Canis lupus familiaris: one gene and its partner. The protein of the gene in region 1 interacts with the protein of each later gene in a biochemical or structural test. Links are inferred from orthologs where the notes say so. Each region holds a gene or a part of one and is shown on either strand. Other genes may lie near its edges.

What was found.
Region 2: the proteins of TXNIP (region 1) and SLC2A1 form a complex in vitro, tested with the Homo sapiens proteins (2 studies listed by BioGRID). The link is inferred for Canis lupus familiaris from reciprocal best matches to the Homo sapiens genes TXNIP and SLC2A1.

What each region holds. Positions count from the first base shown.
Region 1 is NC_049238.1:59,433,891-59,438,236, reverse strand, and holds the start of TXNIP (thioredoxin-interacting protein), read left to right. Parts: upstream 1-1,430; 5' UTR 1,431-1,719; coding exon 1,720-1,969; intron 1,970-2,480; coding exon 2,481-2,553; intron 2,554-2,663; coding exon 2,664-2,811; intron 2,812-3,030; coding exon 3,031-3,133; intron 3,134-3,266; coding exon 3,267-3,523; intron 3,524-3,615; coding exon 3,616-3,772; intron 3,773-3,880; coding exon 3,881-4,032; intron 4,033-4,173; coding exon 4,174-4,209; 3' UTR 4,210-4,346. UniProt on the Homo sapiens protein: May act as an oxidative stress mediator by inhibiting thioredoxin activity or by limiting its bioavailability.
Region 2 is NC_049236.1:552,903-556,706, reverse strand, and holds part of SLC2A1 (solute carrier family 2, facilitated glucose transporter member 1), read right to left. Parts: intron 491-3,804; coding exon 330-490; intron 192-329; coding exon 1-191. UniProt on the Homo sapiens protein: Facilitative glucose transporter, which is responsible for constitutive or basal glucose uptake. Has a very broad substrate specificity; can transport a wide range of aldoses including both pentoses and hexoses.

The DNA of each region.
Region 1 (4,346 bases):
TAAAAATCTCCTGATACTTCAACACAGACAGGAGAGGCCCAAGAATCAAAAAAAAATAAAAATAAAAATAAAAAAAAAAGGGTGCGTCCATGTGTGCCTTTATCTCTGCAAGTTTGTTTGTTTTTGCATTTATGAGTAATTTCTCAGGAGTCAGGTCCTTAAGGCATCTCATGCCAGGTTGGGGGGAGGGGGGAATCTGACAAATGACAATAAAGAGTGATCAGTCAGGGTCTCTTTTAGCTTGAATACAGTGATCCTTTTGTCTTCTTTCCTCACTGGGATTTCTAAAATAAAGGGCTTAGAAAAACACTTTTAAAAGATACGGAAACTCTTCCTTCAAACAGGAATGCAGCCATCTCTTTACTGACACTTTGATCATATAAACAAGAGAACTTTTAACTCGGCTGTGAGGAGTGTGGGCTACGGATTTAGAGATGCGCCTCTGATTTGGTGAGTTGCAGAGGGGATGAAGACAAGGAAGAGTGCAAGCAGCTGAGGAGGAAAGTGAAACGAGGGAAGCATCTTGTTTCAAGTACATACCTTACTAAAAGAGTAATATATTGGTAACTGGGGGAATAGAAACAAAGTGTTCCCCCAACTTTGCAGGTAGAAACTGAAGAGATGAGGGGGAAAGGAACAGGATGTGAACACGCCCTGATTCCGTTCCAGGGAGAACAGAGCGAACGGAGAGAGAGGGTACAGGGGCTTCCAGGTTCGGGGGCGCCGGAAAGGGAGCGCGAAAGCCGAGCAGCGCCCCGGACCGCTGCCCACCCACGACGGAGAAGAGCTTTACAATTTGTGACAAGTTCCCCTTTCTGTCACGGTATTTAGGGGTTTGGATAGAGACCCGGGGGCAAGAGAAAGACAAAGGGGCTCTTCCTCAACAGTCACACCAAAGCTCCCTGGCCTCTGCCCCAATTCTGAAGTATTCTTGGAGTTAAGGGATTATTTTTCACCGGACTTGCGACTTGTGAGCCGGAAATAAACGGTCGCCTCTAAATTTATTGCACTGGCTGAGGTTAGGCACGAAATTCCCACATAAGCACATTTTCTTTTCGCTTCAAACGCTGCTCCCACCCCAGAAGCATCTGCACCCGCCCCCCGACGGCCACCCCCCGTGATAAATGCTAGGGTCCGCGAGGGCCCGCTCCCTCCGGGCTTCCCCTGGGCGTCCTCGGGCGGAGGGAGGCGGCCCCGCAGCCCCTCCGCTCCCTCCTCCCGGCGAGGCTGCCGTGCACAACAACCATTTTCCCCGCCAGGAGCACACCGTGTCCACGCGCCGCTGCGGCCTCGCTGATTGGTTGGGCTCCTGGTAAACAAGGGGCGGGCAGCCAATGGGAGGGCTGTGCACGAGGGCAGCACGAGCCTCAGGGCTAGCGCTCGCGTGGCCGGGCGAGCCCGGGCGACTATATAAAGCAGTTTCCGGCTGCTCCCCGCAACTCTCCTTCCGTCTCCTCTGGCGGGGTGGGCCGTTCGGGCTCTCCTAGAGTCGGGGCGCTCCTCCAGCTGTCGGAGAAAAGAACAGAAAGCTGATTTTTTTTTTTTTTCCCCCGGGGATCCTTCGGCATCACCCACAGCTTACATTTTTTTCCAAAATCTTTTTGAAATCTTAGCGGAGAGTTGAAGAGTGAAATAATTTTTTTGCAGAGCATTTTTGGATTTGGAGTTTTGTTTTTTCTCTCCCCCCCGTTTATAACTGTCAAGGCAGCCCAGCCAATCATGGTGATGTTCAAGAAAATCAAGTCTTTTGAGGTGGTCTTTAACGACCCTGAAAAGGTGTATGGCAGCGGGGAGAAAGTGGCCGGCCGGGTGGTCGTGGAGGTGTGCGAAGTGACTCGAGTTAAAGCTGTCAGGATCCTGGCTTGCGGAGTGGCCAAAGTCCTGTGGATGCAGGGATCCCAACAGTGCAAACAGACCTCTGAATACCTGCGCTTCGAAGACACGCTTCTCCTGGAAGACCAGCCAACAGGTGAGTGGCCCCGTTGTTTGTCGGGAGGGTGAAAGCTGATTTGAGAATAGAGTTGAAACGAATGCTTGCAGCTTATGCTGAATATTTCAAGCTGCTAAGGTTGAGTAGCTTGACTTGTATGTTGTTTCCTTTTTTAGTTTTAACTTGCAGACTCCTAAAAAAAGGGGGGGGGTGATTTGTACAGTTTCTTACAGTGTTCTGTTCTGAAGGTGATCCTGAGGTATGCTGCCTTAACTATTTAAAGGTTTTCTGTGTGCATAAGTTGCATATTCTTCGCTCGTTTCCGGTTTGAGAGGGTAGTAGCTTCACTGCCCTGGTTGAGCCTTTCATCATTGCAAGGCTTTGAAACTTTTTGCCCAACGAAATGCATCAGGATCTCTCAAGAACAGAAGGGGGTGAAAATAGGGGACCTGCAATAGACTTGCATGCTGCCCAGGAATTCCTTATCACACAGATGCATTTGAAGTGAAACAAGAAACCTGATGGGCTATTCTTTCTTCTTTCTTCTCAGGTGAGAATGAGATGGTGATCATGAGACCTGGAAACAAATACGAGTACAAGTTCGGCTTTGAGCTTCCTCAGGGGTAGGTGTCTACTAAATGCATCTTTGGACTTTCTTATCTCTAAAATTCGCCACCTTTGATCACCTGTTCTTGGAGAACAGTTTTAGATTGCTTCTTTTTTCTTGACACAGGCCTTTGGGAACATCTTTCAAAGGAAAATATGGGTGTGTAGACTACTGGGTGAAGGCTTTTCTTGATCGCCCCAGCCAGCCAACTCAAGAGACAAAGAAATTCTTTGAAGTGATGGATTTAGTGGATGTCAACACTCCTGATTTAATGGTGAGGTTCATTTAAAAATTATGTTTTCTTGGGTTTCGGGGATGGTAAGTCGTAAGTCAAGTGTCTTAGGCATTAGACTGATGTACCTCAGGGGATCCAGTCCTAAATGGATTACCAAGGTGGGAGGGAAAGTTGCCTATTCTAGGTAAGGAGTAGAAAGAAAAAAGAGAAGGATCTCTAGAAAGTCTCAAAATGTCTTTTTACCCCTATTTAACACAGGCTCCTGTGTCTGCTAAAAAGGAGAAGAAAGTTTCCTGCATGTTTATTCCTGATGGACAAGTGTCTGTCTCTGCCCGAATTGACAGAAAAGGATTTTGTGAAGGTAAAAACTTAATTAAAAAGGTAGTCTGATAAAACAGGAACTGTGGGTTTGGGAGTGAGGGCAGGCTATAGGGGTAGAAGTCCTTAATTGTATTAAGCGTCAGCTAATAAGTTTTTGTCTTTATCATTGTTAGGTGATGAAATTTCCATCCATGCTGACTTTGAAAATACATGTTCGCGCATCATGGTTCCCAAAGCTGCCATAGTAGCACGCCACACTTACCTTGCCAATGGTCAAACCAAAGTGCTGACACAGAAGTTGTCATCTGTCAGAGGCAATCACATCATTTCAGGAACCTGTGCATCGTGGCGTGGCAAGAGCCTTCGGGTGCAAAAGATCAGGCCTTCTATCCTGGGCTGCAACATCCTTCGAGTTGAATACTCCTTATTGGTGAGTGAATGGAGTCCAAGAAATTGTTCATCTGTCAAAATAGTCATTTCTCCAAACCTCTAGTCTAACTAACTGTCATTTTTCCTTTCTAGATCTATGTTAGTGTTCCTGGCTCCAAGAAGGTCATCCTTGATCTGCCCCTGGTAATCGGTAGCAGATCAGGTCTGAGCAGTCGGACATCGAGCATGGCCAGTCGAACCAGCTCTGAAATGAGTTGGATAGATCTCAATATTCCCGATACCCCAGAAGGTGAGCCAGACCTAATGTTTTTTCTTCCTTTTTGACCTGCTTGGGTTTGTGAAATTGTGACGGTCAGGCATTTCTTGGCCAAACTTCTTATGCCTATGTTTTCTCTAGCTCCTCCTTGCTATATGGATATCATTCCTGAAGATCACCGATTGGAGAGCCCCACTACTCCTCTACTAGATGACACAGATGGTTCCCAAGACAGCCCTATTTTTATGTATGCTCCTGAGTTCAAGTTCATGCCACCACCGACTTACACAGAGGTGATCATTGCCATTTTACAAATTGTCCTCTAAGCCTCTTACAGGAAGTTGAATGGGAAGGACTGCTAAACTGGGTGGTTGTTTTAGTTCTTACCCAAACTAAAATAATCGTTTCTTTTGTTTCTCTTCCCCCCACTCCAGGTGGATCCCTCCATCCTCAACAACAATGTGCAGTGAACTTGTGGAAGAAAAGAAGCAGCTGTACTTAACATGTTTCTTTCTGCCTCTCTTCCTGGACTCTTACTTTCTCAGAGACTGAACAGTCTCTACAGTTGGGGTATGGGTCCACCCCAGCCTCTGACTCCCCAGTGTAG
Region 2 (3,804 bases), on another chromosome or scaffold:
GGGCCCCGCGAAGGGCCGTAGGGGACACCTCCCCCACGTACATGGGCACGAAGCCTGTGGTCAAGCCACAGTACACACCAATGATGAAGCGGCCCAGGATCAGCATCTCAAAGGACTTGGCCAGTTTCGAGAAGCCCATGAGCACAGAGGACACGAAGGCCAGCAGGTTCATCATCAGCATGGAGTTCCGCCTGGGGGTGGGGGTCACAGGTCAGGTGGGTGCCTGGATCTCCCCAGATTCCCAGGGGCTAGGTCACAGGCAACACCCCGAACGGGCAGGGAAGTCTCTCCCCCCCTCCCTGGCCAGGGCCAGGACCCCTTCTGCTCACCGGCCAAAGCGGTTCACAAAAAGGCCCACAGAGAAGGAGCCGATCATGCCTCCTACAGAGAAGATGGCTACAGAGAGGGACCACAGCGTGGTGAGCGTGGTGGGGGAGATGCTCTCCTGATAGCGGTGGATCCATGTCTGGTTGTAGAACTCCTCAATCACCTACAGGGGGAGAAGCAGCCCGCTGAGCGAGGTGTCGGGCCCCCCACTCACTGCATGTCCTTGAGCCAAGCCCCTGCCTGTTGTGGGCCTCAGTTTCCCCAGGTGAGAAACCAGGGGCTGGGCTCCATCTCGAGGAGTGGTGCGGGCTGTCATGCTTCCCCAGGTGTGGCTCCCGGGGCCCTGTGGTGTCACATGTCCCACAGAACTTGCTGGGGAGGCCAGCAAATGGCCAACGGTGGACGGTCAGGCCCAGGGCAGGAAGATGTTCAGGAGAAAGTGCTTCCCCCCACTTGGCCCCTTTCTCTTCAAGATGCCTGAGGCCCTAGGCTCCTGCCACCTGGGCACTCTCCCCAACCCCCCCTGCTGGGGAGGAAATACAGCTGGCCAGCTGGCTCCAGATGCTTGGGGACAAAGGGAAAGGCAGGCTCGCTGACTTCACCCTCACCCTCGGCCCGGTGTGACCACCTTGCGCTCCAGCCGGGCTCCCCAGCCTCTCCTAACTGCTCCCTGAGCGCCAGGCCCAGCTGCTCGTGGGGGTTCACCCTGAAGGACCCATGGCCTCCTCCCCCCTGCCAGGTGCCCAGCTGGGAGGGATGGGGAAGGCTAAGGACAAGGAAGCAGTTCCAGGAACTGGAAGCACCTGCCCCAGGCGCCTGCCCACCAGCCCTGCCCCACACAAGGGGGGCTGGGCCTGATCCACCGGTTCTGCCCGAGAACACTCACCCTACTCTCAGGCGACACCGACACACACCCAGGGCCACAGGACTGGACTGACCCACCCAGCTGCCCGCAGCGCTGGGCATGGGCCCAACATGCCCAGAAACAGCTTCCTGTGTACACGCACCGTCATACACATACTCGTGCTCAGTCTGAATGCTCTGGCTCCCGCCGGTCACAAACCTGACTGGCCCTCTTCCCTTCAACCACTGACAGCTCCACCTCGGCTCCTTGTGCCCCCAGCCCACCGCCAGCACCCCTTACATGACCTCCTCCACTGCTTCTGGAACCCCCAATCGTCCCAAGCTCCAGGGGTCTGACGGAAGGCGGTGGGTAGCCACAATTGCCAAGGGGGAAACCGAGGCCCTCAGTCCCAGAAATGCTCACGGTTGTGATGGGTCCTTGGCCTCTGTTTCCTGCCCTGCTGCCACGGTCTATCCCAGGTCTGCAGACACCCGACAGGAGGCCAGGCTCCAGGGGTTAGGATGGGTTGACATGGGTGTGGGGAGGGGAGGGAGGTGGCCCTAATTATCTACTTATGGGTCCCGAGAAGCCAGACAGCGCAGGGGTGAGGAACCTAGACAACTCTGCCACTGCGACTGAGGGCAAATCATGTCATCTGGGACGGCGACAGTAGCAGGATGCATGTCATAGTGCTGTAAGGGATTAATGAGACAGAGAGTGCTTGCACAGTGCCCAGCATCGTCACCGAGTCAAGGGACGGTTCTGGAACCAACCCAAGGGCAGTGCAGACCACTGACCAAGCCCTACCAACCCTGCAGCCCCTAATTAAAAATCAAGGCTTGGGCCAGAGATCAGCCCCCATGTCCCCACCTGCCCCCATCTCTACCCCAGCTCTAGGGCTCGTTTCCACACTATCCATGGTTACTTGGCCCAGAGCGCCCAACCGGCCACCTTACCATGCTGAAACCTTTTGAGATCCAGCTCAAAGGGTCCCAGAAGTCTGAGGGCAGGGAGCCTACTGGATTCACACGGGGGCCTATCCTGATGAGTGGATGGAAGGGTCAATGAGGAGAGGGCCTTACTTAGGCTCTCCTCCTGGGAGCCCCTGCTTCCGCTGGGGGCAGAAAGGCAGATTTTAACAAAACAAAACAAAGTGCTTCTGTTCTTCAAGGGATAGAACCAACCTCAGAGAAGGACTGGTTGGGAGAAGTAATGCTCCATTTATCAGGATCTGCAGAGAACAAGCTGTCCTGGACAAGGGGACGGTCCAGATAAATGACACTCGCCCCACTGAGGACCCATCATCGGGGTGGAAATCTCTCTCCCTTCTGCCGATCTCACTCTGCTGCCCTTGGGGCTCTCTACAGGGGCAGGGAGAGGTATTTGTCCCAGATAGTCTTTAATTTTTGCCTCCTGTAGTTCTCAGGGTCTCCCTGTGCGCCCCCGTGGTTCAGATGCTATCTCAAGAGAACTCTCCACGTATCATTCTGATTTTTGCCAAGTCGTCTGCTAATGGAATTGCCTGAACTGCGTGCAAAGAGTCAACAAGTGCTGAGTAAGGCCTTACTACCTAAGTGAGCTACAACATGTGAGGCTGAGCTTTCAGGTCTTTAACCCTCTTCTTGAGGCTGGCTGGAGATGTTGAGGCAGCCAACAAGAGGACCACATTCCCGGGGGCTCTCCAGCCCCGGTTAAGGGTGCGCTGGTGGTAACAAGTCAGAAGGACCAAGCCTTGTCCAGAGCTAGCTCAGGGGCTCATGAGCAACCCTGCTACTCAGACCACTTTATGGGGGTGGGTGAGGGTAGGGAGCCAGCCCCTTTTGCCTTCCCTGTGGCCTCAGGCTCGTCCTTTCCACCCCGCAGCAGCCCTTCCTGGCCAGGCTGAGGCTGTGCTGGGGCTTCCTGCCTTTTGATCTGACACCTGACATTTCTGGGAAGAAGCTAGGCTTGGTTTTCCATTTCTGCTGCTGGTGTGGGAACATTGTGTCCTCTCGCTGCCGGGGGTCTATGCCCCACATGGGGCTGAGCTGGCCCTTGGCCCGGGAAAGGCGGCAAGTCCCTGAACAATCAGAAGAATCCTCCATGGGGAGGAGTTCTGGGGTCACCTTCCACCACTGGCTGACCTCCCCATCCATCCCAGCCGCAGCTGAGTGCCCTTACCTGAAAAAGAGCCTATTCCCTCAAAAGGAGCCCACAGACCCAGTCCCACCACAGGGTCACCGGCAGCCTCCATGAGCCTGGCTTGTGCTCCCGAAAGCTCGCTCCTCACCTGCTCCTCACAAGCCTGGGAGACACGCTCGCTCCTGCCGCCACCCCCACGCAGTCAATCACCAGGTCCCGCCAATTCTCCCTCTGGATCTGTCCTAGTCTCTACCCACGCAACACCTGCCCTAGGCCTCACCTGGATTCTGCCCCTGACGCCTCCCATCTGCTTCCCAGGACTCAATTACTCCCCATCAGGGCACCAAAGGCCTGCACGCACAGGCGCCAGGCTTGGCCATCCACCTGCCATCTCTGCTCCCTACCCCCCATCTCCCCAGCAATGATGGCAATTTTTAATTCACTAATATCTGGACCAACCAAAAAACACAGGGGCTCAAGGACTTTTTTGGGAACAAATATTAGTTTAAAAA